2 linked regions of the Caenorhabditis elegans genome follow. The protein of the gene in region 1 purifies or fractionates together with the protein of each later gene. This does not show direct contact. Each region holds a gene or a part of one and is shown on either strand. Other genes may lie near its edges.

Evidence for each region. Proteins that work in one complex are often made in the same cells at the same time.
Region 2: the proteins of ocr-2 (region 1) and T04F3.3 fractionate together in Caenorhabditis elegans (co-fractionation; one large-scale study listed by BioGRID). This does not show direct contact.

What each region holds. Positions count from the first base shown.
Region 1 is NC_003282.8:8,214,058-8,221,775, forward strand, and holds the start of ocr-2 (Ion transport domain-containing protein), read right to left. Parts: upstream 6,031-7,718; 5' UTR 5,980-6,030; coding exon 5,852-5,979; intron 4,964-5,851; coding exon 4,834-4,963; intron 3,724-4,833; coding exon 3,203-3,723; intron 3,134-3,202; coding exon 2,725-3,133; intron 2,680-2,724; coding exon 2,597-2,679; intron 2,403-2,596; coding exon 2,191-2,402; intron 1,803-2,190; coding exon 1,735-1,802; intron 1,691-1,734; coding exon 1,583-1,690; intron 1,513-1,582; coding exon 1,099-1,512; intron 1,022-1,098; coding exon 872-1,021; intron 430-871; coding exon 313-429; intron 267-312; coding exon 135-266; intron 79-134; coding exon 1-78.
Region 2 is NC_003283.11:11,757,045-11,761,080, forward strand, and holds T04F3.3 (Tyrosine-protein phosphatase domain-containing protein), read left to right. Parts: upstream 1-1,890; 5' UTR 1,891-1,902; coding exon 1,903-1,988; exon of another isoform or gene 1,989-2,036; coding exon 2,037-2,281; intron 2,282-2,507; exon of another isoform or gene 2,508-2,652; intron 2,653-2,698; coding exon 2,699-3,327; intron 3,328-3,369; coding exon 3,370-3,504; 3' UTR 3,505-3,536; downstream 3,537-4,036. Other genes in the region: smoc-1 (Thyroglobulin type-1 domain-containing protein), read left to right, coding at 624-708, 758-917, 964-1,430, 1,478-1,548; T04F3.5 (uncharacterized protein), read left to right, coding at 3,645-3,722, 3,884-3,982, 4,031-4,036.

The DNA of each region.
Region 1 (7,718 bases):
CACTGCTTTTTTCTCTTCGATCATCTTTTTCATCTTTTCTTCCAGTACTTTCTGTCCCTTTTTGGAGTCGCGGGAAAACTGAAAGTTTGAAAAAAATTAGTTGAAATTTTGATAAGAATGCGTAATAAACAAACCGCTGATTTCTTGCTGACAACCAAACTTCTTGTTTTCTTGTTTGTTCCAGTTGGTCTTGAGTATTTCAGAAGATATTGGTGACGTTCTTTTGGACTCAAAGAAAGCTCTAACATCAAAATTACTTGAGCTCTCTGAAAATAAAAAAATCTTAATTTAATAATGCAACAACGATTTAACCTGTCGTTTATACTCCAGTTGTGTCTGGAAGATTGTTTCATATGTACGTGTCATCATGGCAATAAGCATATTAAACTGCATAATACTTACGAACAATTCGAAAAGAATGAATACAACCTGAAATCAATAAAATTATAGAAACGTGGTAATGGGAACTGAAATTTTACGTGGTAAAATTTCAGTGGAGTAATGGGAAGTATGTTTGATATATCCTCTACGGATTTAAGTTACCCAAATACCTTATTCAAATTTTTAAAAAGTCACAACTTCTGAAATACTGTCAAAAGTAGCTAGCATTTGTAAAACCCGGCTCAATTCTAAGATATATTCTAAAACAAACACTAGCAGCATTTAACTGGACCCCAATTTTGAGTTTTGAATCAAATTTCTCATGCACAAAGTTAACATTAATCTGAGCTGGCAACAACGATTTAAGTGTAGAAAGGTTAACTTTCCAAAATTTGGAATTTTTGTATAGGAAAATTTTACCAAATCGGATTTTTATTTTTGTTCAAAAAAAAGTTGCATTTGCCAAAAACTCAATTATTTTTACACTTACTTTTCCAATCCAAACCATCGTATTGGCGGGACAAAGAGCAAGGTTACGGTAAAGTACTGTAAACTCTCCAATTGTTAGAATAAATGTACGAACGAAAGCTTCAATGGGTGATTGCATTACATTCTCAAAGACTTCTGCGTTTTTCACAATCTGAAAAATTCGAAATAAAAGTGAAATATATAAAAATATAACTCATTAATTAACAAAGTTTCAAAGAATGATCTCACCGCGGTGTCATATGCACTGATTTGTCTTGTTAAATTAAATTTATTGTCCGAACCTTCCGATGCTTCTGATTGATCAGTGATCAGTTTTTTGATAACATTGGCTTCCCGTTCACAAGACAAAAAAATCAATGAAAAAGATTGGGAAAATCCCATCAAGAATATTCCGTAAATGAGCATAAACCGGAAAATGTCAGTGGCAATAATTGTATAAACCATCAAAACGAATGGTCCCACAAATCGAATAACACGACAATAATAGAGATAGTGTACAGTTGTAAAGATCATGGTAACTGTGATGAGAACGTTGTCAACAACCAAAAGTACCGGACTTAAATCACATGCCAGACGAGTTGGAATCATTGCGAGAACCAGAAAATATGTTAATTTGAACGTGATTTTAGCAGGGAAAGCAGTCTGGAAATTAGTGAATTGTATTTTTAGAAATACAGAAAATTGTAGTTTTATTTTCTGCCAGTCAGCTTACCAACACATTCCACCACTTTTTTCTTCCAATTCTCTTAATATCACGGAAATCAAGAAACACTTGAACACAAATTCCAATTACAACAAATAATTCAAAAACAAGACGGATCTGAAAAAGAAAATATGTGCCTACAGTATTTTGGAAAAACTAACGTATGAATTGGCAAATGGAATATCTGGATCCCAGTAGTTACGAAGATGACATTGGCTCAAAGGTTCCGCTGTAATTTGTTAATGATATTATATCGAATACAATGTGATTTCCCTATTAGTGCTGCATGTCATTGTTCAATCGATAATCGAAATATAGATTGTAAATTTTATTTTCGATCAATCAGCTTCCGTAAAAAATTATCGGTTCTAATCTTTTATCTTTTGGAAACTTATGTGGAAATTCAACATTTTATATGAAATATTGAGTACAAAGAAGGTAAGCTTGCTCGAGAATTGGTCGCAATACTTCTAACTCAATTTTAGCAATATAAATTAATTTCTTAAGCAACGTTCGCCAAATTCTGCACCAGTTTTAGCAAAGTTTATGTCGAATTGGGAAAAAATCAATTTTCAATATTGCTAAAATATTCGGGGTAGTGGTGATAGAGTACTTACACCATTCAACCAATCCACGCGATGTTGCATTAATCACTGGTTTAACTTGTTGAAGAGTTGAGTTTTTTCCGTATCTTCCCGGAAATGGTTCCGAATATCGATTGATCCATCCTTCAGTTAACATTTCCGTTGAAAATCCAATTGGCCTCAATGTGAATGCAGTTACAAAACATATGTAGTACAATGTGAAGGCAGTGAATGACACAATCATACTGAAATTCAGATTATTAAGAAAATAATAAAACCGTACTTCCTAGTTGAGACGCTAAGTCAGTTCTAAATAAAACTTTCTAAAAGTTTTTAAATAATAGTTTGAAACAGTGTTTCACAATTAGTAATGATTGGGTAAAATAATAAGTTTAATTAATTTTATAAAAAATTACACGCTAATTACCAATTTACTTACTTTCTTTTGGCAAATGCTTCCCATTTCGCTTCCAGCAATGTATCCAATAGGCCATCCAAAAGTTCAAGATGCTCAACAGTTTGCTGAAAATGCTAAGTTTAACGGCTCCCAGTAAAATCGCCGCTTACCCCATAAACCACAAGTGAAAGTGCAGAAGCTTCATTCAATTCTCCAGTTGTTTCATTGATTGTATCGATCTTTGCCAGTGGGTAAGCTGTTGATGAAGCATCACCATAAGCCCATACACTGTCTCCTTCCAATTCTAATATCTCGTCGAACATTTCCTTTTTTGCCAATTTCGCCGCAAGTGTTAACGGAGAAAGACTTTGTTTGTTAACAGTACGAAGACTTGCTCCACATTCTAATGCTAGCTTGAACATTGCCATATTTTCATGAATGACACACATATGGAGAACAGAGTTTCCATTTGTATCTTGAGCATTTGGATTTGCCTTGAAAGCAAGAAGAAGGCGAAATGATTCAGGTTGATTCAAACAGGCAGCAAATGACAATGGATATTCTCCAAGATACATGTTTCTGAATTTAGATTTACATAGAAAGCATGTGAAAGCATACAACCAACTAAACAAAAATAAATTGACCTACCCTGTATAATTAGTTTTCAATGAAAGTTCAACATATTCATGTTCTAATGAATCAGTTCTTGATGCTTTTTGATCATCAGCACAGAAAAATGCTCCATAACATCTTGAATTAACATCGGCTCCCAATTTCAAAAACTTGTAAACGAGTTTACAATCCGTATTAATAATTGCTTGATGAAGAGGTGATAATCCGTAAAAATCTTCGGAAATGTGAATATCATTCAACAATTTTGGATAATAATCAAGAATCTTCAAGACAAGAGCATTATGAATATCCGATGCATGAAGAAGACAACATCCAATAATTGTTTCTCCCATTGATCCACGTTCTTCCAATTTCCATGAAATTTCTCGATACTTACTTTCATTCCGCCCGCCTTTTCCACCTCCGTCCAGAAGTTTTAGTGCTTTTTTCAAATCTCCCACATTTTCTCCTTCCTGATTGAAATCGTCTAATACATTTGGCCCACTTTTTCCTTTTCCTTTCTTTCGTGAGAATGCTCCAAGTCGTTCATTTCTTTCCTAAACAAAATTATTTTGGATTTTTCCAATAAGTGACGTAACCCATTATAAAATTTTCATCCAATATCAAAACATGTCAAACACAACATTACAAAAAAAAAATTGAGAAACTTCTTTCGTTTTCAAGATTTCCTTTTGAGAACCTTATGTCCTTAAACTTAGATTTGGTTCCTTGAAAGAGGTAAGCTTTCGGAGCCAAAATTCTGAAAGCTAAATTCTAAGTTTTTGGGCGTAATACAAAATGTACCTTGTTCGTGGATTGTTGACAATTTATGTTTAATAAGTATCTGGAAACATTTTCAGGCAAATCCTACTTTTCCTGAAATTTCAGTTGAAACAGTTGTTTGTTTATTTAATCTAAATTTAAATTTAGCGGTTATTTTGTGTTTTGAGATCAATCGTATTACTATTAATAAGTACCACTGTACAGGAAAATTGGGGGTTTTTAAATCACAATATACATTCACCCCAGGGGTGTGCGGCAAAACTCAAAATTTGCCGAGCTCGGCAAATTCGGCAAATTTCTTTTTTCAATATTTGCCGAGCACGGCAAATTCGGCAATTTTGCCGCGCTCGGCAAATTCGGCAAATTTGCCGTGCCTAACAAACTCCGAAAAATTGGATACTATTTCATGCTTTTTGGAGCACCAAAACTACTGAAATCTGAACAAACATCTGGTTTCTGAATAAGTTCTGTGTAGTGTGTCTGTTTAAGCATCAAAATAACTCAATTTTGTGTGATTTCACTAAATTTTTGGCGAAGAATTCAATAGTTTTGGTCAGAATTGTACAGTCATATTTTTGATGTGTGCGGCAAATTTCAAAATTTGCCGAGCTCGGCAAATTCGGCAAATCTACTTTTTTCTAAACTTGCCGAGCTCGGCAAACGGCAAATTCGGCAAATTCGGCAAATTTGCCGCACACCCCTGATTCACCCTTAAGGGAAGGCCTTACATCGTTATTTTCACTTCTAGTCACTTGCAGAAATTAATCAAAATTTTGAAAACCCCTGATTGTGAGGTGGTTAAAATGTAAAAGTTGTTCAAGTAGAGAATCATGTATATGTTTTTAAATGATCACATATTACAAAAACTTTTTTTTTCAGATTACCTTATTCCGCAATTTGACCAACTCAGTAACTGTCACGAGCTTTCCTTTTCCACCATTATACAAGAAATCTTTGACTTTTGTTTCCAAATAAGCGTCGATAAATGAAGTATCACTACTTATAATGGCATATCTGAAAATGGAAATTTTCGCAAAAAAAAAACAGGTGATTTTTGTGAGAATTCGATGCATGTCATCGAGTACATAGACATTTCTTAGAATTTTCAGAACCAAAGGGCTCCAAAAAGATCCCTTTTTTAAAAAACATCACCATCATTTGCCGTTCCTTGTGACAAAACATGTCAAAAAGGAAACCAGGAAAGTAATAAAATGTTCACAAAAACGATTATACGAACCTATAATTTTCATGTCTTTTCGTTTTAGTTCCGTCATTCAATTTTCAATTTTAAATGGATTTGTGGAATTATTAAAAACAGAAATTTGGTAAGAAAAAATTTCAATCGAACATTGAAATGATTGCACTTCACAAAAAGAAATAATTATTAGTTTTGGAAAATTAACAAACTTTTATGAAACTATTCATTAATTTTTTCAATGTTGATACTGTCAGAATATTTCTATTAAAGCTTTGAACTGATATAGTAACACTTATAAAATATTTAAAACATACCTAATCTTTCAAAAAGTTTGAAATTCTGACAAGAAATTTATTGATATTTTTCATTCTGTTTATCAGGCAAAGCAGTTGCCAAAATTTAATTTGTATTACATGGAATGACGCATTTCGTAATACAATTCATGGAAACTCAATGGGGTTTCGTTTTTATATTTTACTTTTAATCAGAAGATAAAGTAACATTTGTTTGAGTTTTCGGCATATTTGAAGCAAAAAGAAAGGGTAAATGGAATGGTGGTTTTTATATAATTAGGTTCAGTTTACATTGAGTTCCAAAAAAAGCGGCAGTTTATTGATAAAGTGTCGAAACTCTAAGAAGAAATATTCAAATTTTGAACTATTGTTGTATACGTATTCATCAAGTGATTAGTTTAACGTTTTTACCTGAGCCATGGAAGAAGTTCCCCACCGCCATGCATATCTACAAGTTGATAAATCTTCATATCCTCCCTCAATCTTCCCATTCCCACAAAGTTATTCATGGAAGATTGGGTTGAAGATGAGGAACCCATCTTAATGATGTGATGTACTCTACTGATAAGATGATTAAGATATGTCTGAAAATTAAATTAAATGATAGAATTGAAAAAAAGCCAAAGTTAGAAAATTAATGATTTTGTGATATAAGTATCATTGAATTTTAAGACTTCCAGGCCAACCCAAAAATCTCAACTTTCTAGGCAATGCTTTCAATGAATGCCTTTAAGTCTGACTTGCATTCAAGGAATGCAGAAAACTGAGAGCAGGTCTGTATATAGGTAGGCAGGTAAGAGGTAGGCATCTACATGTGATAATGTGGGGCAGGGAAATGTATGTATGATCAATTTTGGTTCAATTTTGAACCAAAACTTAAACCAATATCTTTATGAATTGATATACTAAATTAATGAAAGGTTCTTAAAATATTGCCAGTTATATGAAATCTGGTTTTGATCCCAAGTTCCTGTCATCTATCTTTTAAAGCAGCTGACATTTTTGGCGACCCCAAGTTCATTTGTCTAATAACGTGATGGATTTTGAAATTGTATTTTTGTGAATGGCAAAAAAAACCAAAATCAGAATAACAAAACTGAATTTCGTGGCTCACTCTTGAGCCGGAGCTATAAGATGGATGGAGAAGGCGAAAAAATGGGCGTGGCTGTTATACTCAAGCTCACTCCTGAATCTCCATGAAGGGGAAAAGGAAAAGAGAAAGCATTGAAAGAAATAGAGAGAAGGTAGAATATGACACTGAAAGAAAATTGGTTGAACAGGCGCCTGCTTTTTGATTGAATTTTGGCGTGTCGGTCGTCGTGGTCGGTTTGTTGCCGTGGGAGATTGGATATCAGGAGGCAAAATGTGAAAAGAGTTTGTACAAGAAACTTCTGAAAACTTGATAGATCTTAAAAGAGTGATTTTATGGGGAGAAAGAATGAATTAAACATGTGAAGATAGTTTTAGATTTTCAAACAATCGATATTGAAACATTTTGTACCATCTTTGTATATTTATGACAAGAACAATTCGGAACTATCAAAATTAATACTTTCTAAATACATTACTAATAGTCCAACACATCTTGAGATCATAAATAAAAGCTCCGATTTTTTTTCGATTTTAAAAGAGCATAAATAAACAAAGATGATACAAAATGTTTCAATTTTATTTCGAATTTAAAAATTTCAGCCAAAGTTTTGGTAAATTCCCAGAATTTTATTAAAATGAGAACTTTCAAGAATTGCTGCAGATTTAAATATCTAGAAAACAAATACAACTGATTCAAACGTAATTAAAATACAAAGTTGAACCTTAAAGTATTTCAGTTTCAATTAGTGTTGCACCCTTTTATCTTTGTTACTAGAGCCACAGAAAATTAATGTTTTGAAGATTTTTTTGAAAATTATAGAATTTGAATATTATCTTGATACAAGTTTCTAATTGACAATTTTTAAAAGTGCCTACACAAAGTTTGAGCTTATGTAAGTGAAATCTTGGAACCTCAAATTCAAAAAAAAAGTAATTAATTTCGAAACCTTTTTTTAAATTTGTTTAAAAAATTCTAACTACTTGTGTTTGAACATCGTCGAGGTTTAAACTTGCAACAATGATCGGAATTACTCAAAAAGACCAAATTGTTTTGATAGTTTGCCAATTTTCCAAACATTTTACTGAATTGAAACAAAAATTCTTTTTTAAACTTTCCGAGTGTTGATTTATTATATTTGATCATGTTCAAGTATTATAAGTGCAGTTATATAAAGTCTCCACTAGC
Region 2 (4,036 bases), on another chromosome or scaffold:
AAAAATGATTCCACAATCGGAAACAAGCTCAAACCTTTTCTTGGATTGTTCACGCATCATTGAGAATTTTATTGGGGATAAAAAATATCTGGGCGGGATATAGAGACTTTGAACAACCATGAGAAGTTGAACCTTCATAAGTTTATTTCTAACAACTTTTATACAATATTTCAAGAAACCTCCTGAAAAAGTTCACAAATCACTTCCTTTTCTAATTCGAAGTTCTGTGGACTTTGCATTTGAAGAGTCAACTTTTGTTTCGAAACCGGAAAATTGTATTCGATTACATCAGAATACAACATAAAAGAAATGTGACGTCGAATCTTAACACTCAGGTTCTAAACTCTCCATTTTGTTTGAAATTTCCGTTATTAAATTAACACTATAGACATCTTCTCAATTAGGTGTGAATTCCTAAACCAGAAGAACACCCACGTCACTTGAATCTTCAGCCCACACGCATTGCAGAAGAGTGCAACCTAATCTGGTTACTCCTCCTATATCCTCCGTCTTCTCCTCAATTTCACATTTCAACGGACAGCGTTTTTTTTGTTTTGAGATTTGCACATATTTCTCCAATTTTATCGTTATCTTAATTTTAATATAATATTTTTCAGTCGCTCATGCGGCCCGAACACTTGTCTTTACAATTATTGGCTTGGATATACTTGATTAATGGGAATCCAATTGTTCAGAAAGGGGGACTTGGTAGGTTTCTGATTTTAAATTTGTTAATTGTAACTTTAATGTTTTTTAGAAGTTCTGGATATTACTGACTCAAATGATTTGTCTGTTCGTCAAAGATTCGAAGAAGTTATACGTCTAGATTGTGCATCACAAAGACGAAAAGCATTAAAAAGAAAAACTGACGGAGATGCTAGAATTTATATTCCAACATGTTCTCCAAAAAACTCATTGTAAGTTTCTTCGTATACATATTTGTTAAGTTTACTCAATTTTCAGATTATATGATAAAGTGCAATGCTATGATGTTTCAATTTATTGTTGGTGTGTGGACGAACTGTCCGGAGAGCCAAAGTTAGGCTCATCGACAACAAGAGGAAAACCAAAATGTGAAGAAACTCCAACAACTACAGTTGCTCCAAAAAGAGTGAGAAGAAACAATCGGTGTAAGGAAAAGAAGAGAACACGATTTCTGAGGCGATTAGTATCAACTCTCAAATCAGAAATGATAATGAGTGGAATAAATGCAACAAAAGTTAGCAGAGATTCAGCAATTAGATGGAAGTTTAATCAACTCAATATAAATCATAATAATGTGCTTGAAAGAAGTGAATGGAAACCTTTTAAATCAGTTTTGTTAGAATGGAAGAATGTCAGACAGTGCTCCAGAAATCTTTTCAAAACTTGCGATCTGAATAAGGATAGAAAATTGACATTCGATGAATGGAGAAAATGCATTGTTCAAGGTGTGTTTTTGAGAAAAATCATCTGATTTCTCATTTAATTTTTTCAGAAATCAACCGAGTACCAGCCAAACGTCCAGATCAACTAAACCCATTCCTGTACATTTTAAGATCAGAATAATTTTAAGTTTTAATCCTCCCCCTCAATTTGCAATGTTCTTTAAAAATCTACCACGGGTAACCTCCTTCCATTAATCTATTAACCTATATTTGTCTTTCATTCACATATTTGTTTCTCAACAGCATAATAAGTTTGCTTAATTTCAGAGCTTGTAGTTGTCCGGTGTTGAAATATCGTATTTATTTGTAGAAATTGTATTTTCATATTTTCATTGTCAGTTCAAAAACAAAACATATGCATTTAAATTAAATAAAAGTGTTCACTTTTAAAATAAGCACGTGGTGATATTGAAATAATAAGAAAAAAATCACTATAAAAAGAACCTCAGAATTCAAAAAATCTATTTCGAACAAAATGGTTGGTGACGGTTCACTTTCTTCTGAATCAGTTATTGGTCTTCACACTTACAATAGTGCAGCCGATCTAACTAGTGGACATGTGTAAGTTTTCAAGGTTTTCAATAATATTTAAGCTTAATTCATTTTCAGTATGACACTTGAAAAAAACGAGTATCTATTTGATCTGAACACAAAAAACGCTTGCACTCGTCCACTGGATATTTTTATCAAACTTCTTTCAACTTCCTCTGTCGGAAAAGAGTTTTCACATTTCTCGTCTCTTCCATTGTCACGACTTCGCACTGTTGACGCTTTCTTTGATCACCCCGAATTGAATAAATTTGGAGAAATTCAAGTTTACGAGCAGACGCGTGTTCGAGCCGTTCATCGTCAAGGTAATTCAAAAACTTCAGAATAAAAATATGTAAAACTAGTGGGGCGTTACGTCATTACACATTTATTTACTACATTATATTATTTTAGTATCGCAATTTATGTCAAGTCGTTAGTGAAATTTTAACAAATTAACTGAATATTCCACGATATCTCTATTTTAGTTCCACGCCTTGATGTGGTGGCAGTACGTGAATTTCAATGTTTGACGTTCAAAAACAGAAAAAAAGCGTTAGGTCTTTCATGTAGGCGCCAAAACACCTGCCTGCCTCACCTTAAGGCGACCTTCGCCTGCATCGCGCACCGTCTATCAAAATAAATATGAAAATACCCCCTTATGGCTGTCACAAGGGACACTAAAAAGACGGAATGTCTAGATTCTGACTACCCGTCTAAATCCAATCTTCTACACATTTCAGGTCATAATTACCTCAACTCAAGTTGGATCGACGGATATCGTGAAACTCGAAAATTCATTGTCGCCCCGTCTCCTATGTCTGAAAGTGTTGCTCAATTTTGGCGGTGTGTTTTCGATCGTAATTCTCTTATTGTGGTGACACTGTGCGAGCTCCTGGATGAAAAGGGAAAACCATTTGTGCCTGTAAAGATTGGAGAACCATTGGTAATTGATGATATGACAATTGAGTTGGATAACATTCGAAAAGTTCGACCGGCAACTTACTCTTCTGTTCTGAAGATTTCTGAGAAAGGTGTCGAATCTCATAAAACAGTGATTCTTCTGACCTATAGTGGATGGGGAAAACTTGGTTATCCACAGAAACCATCTGATATTCTGGATTTATTGGCAGATATGAACCATATGAGAACAATTCTCAGAAAACAGGGACTTGAAAAGAAGATTTTTGACGACAGTCAACGGACACCAATGACATTGGTGTGTTTTGATGGATTCAGTAGAAGCTGCACTCTTGTTGCTTTGGATATTCTTTGTCAACGTCTGACAGCCTCTCATGAAATTGGTACTCCATTTGTTGATATTCTGGATACAATTGCTAGACTTCGAATGCTTCGTGGTGCAGCCTGCATGGTGATACGTTCTTTATAACTAGATTAAAATTAATATTTTCAGAAAGCCGAGCAGTTTGTCTTCTTATCAATGTCAGTTCTCGAATATGCCATTCGTCATCATTTGGTGAATGTGGAGGATCTCGGTAAAATCAGCTTGAATGGGTTTATCATTCGCAATAATCCTGAATCTTACTGACCCGTTTTTTCAAGTCTACAAATAAAAGATTCTTCAAATTTTTTATTCTCATTTTATTTCCTTCCGGATGACCTACATTAAAACTTGAGTCATTTTCCCAATTACCACCTTTTTGGAATGTCACTTTCAAGTGTCAAACAATGAATACGTACACATATCTTCAGATTTACTTTATATTTCTTCACATCTGTCACTGCCAAATATTTCAACAAATTCCAGTGAGTCCAGTAACTGGTTTGAATTTCAACAACTTTTTTAGAATCTGATTTATCTGAGAAACTATCTTTGTCAAGAATGTTATTATCTTTCAGAAAAATTTGTTAGACAATTTTCACAACGTTCGATGAAAGGATATTTCTGAAAGTTTATAGTCTTACAGGTTGGAATGGGTATGGGAATGGGTATGGGAATGCCTATGGTTATGTCAATGCCAATGCATAATCTTGTTGGAAACCCATTTGAACAAGGAATGGAAATTGTACGTTTTCATGTCATGATTTTCAATTCATAGTTCTCTAAAATTTAGGAATAC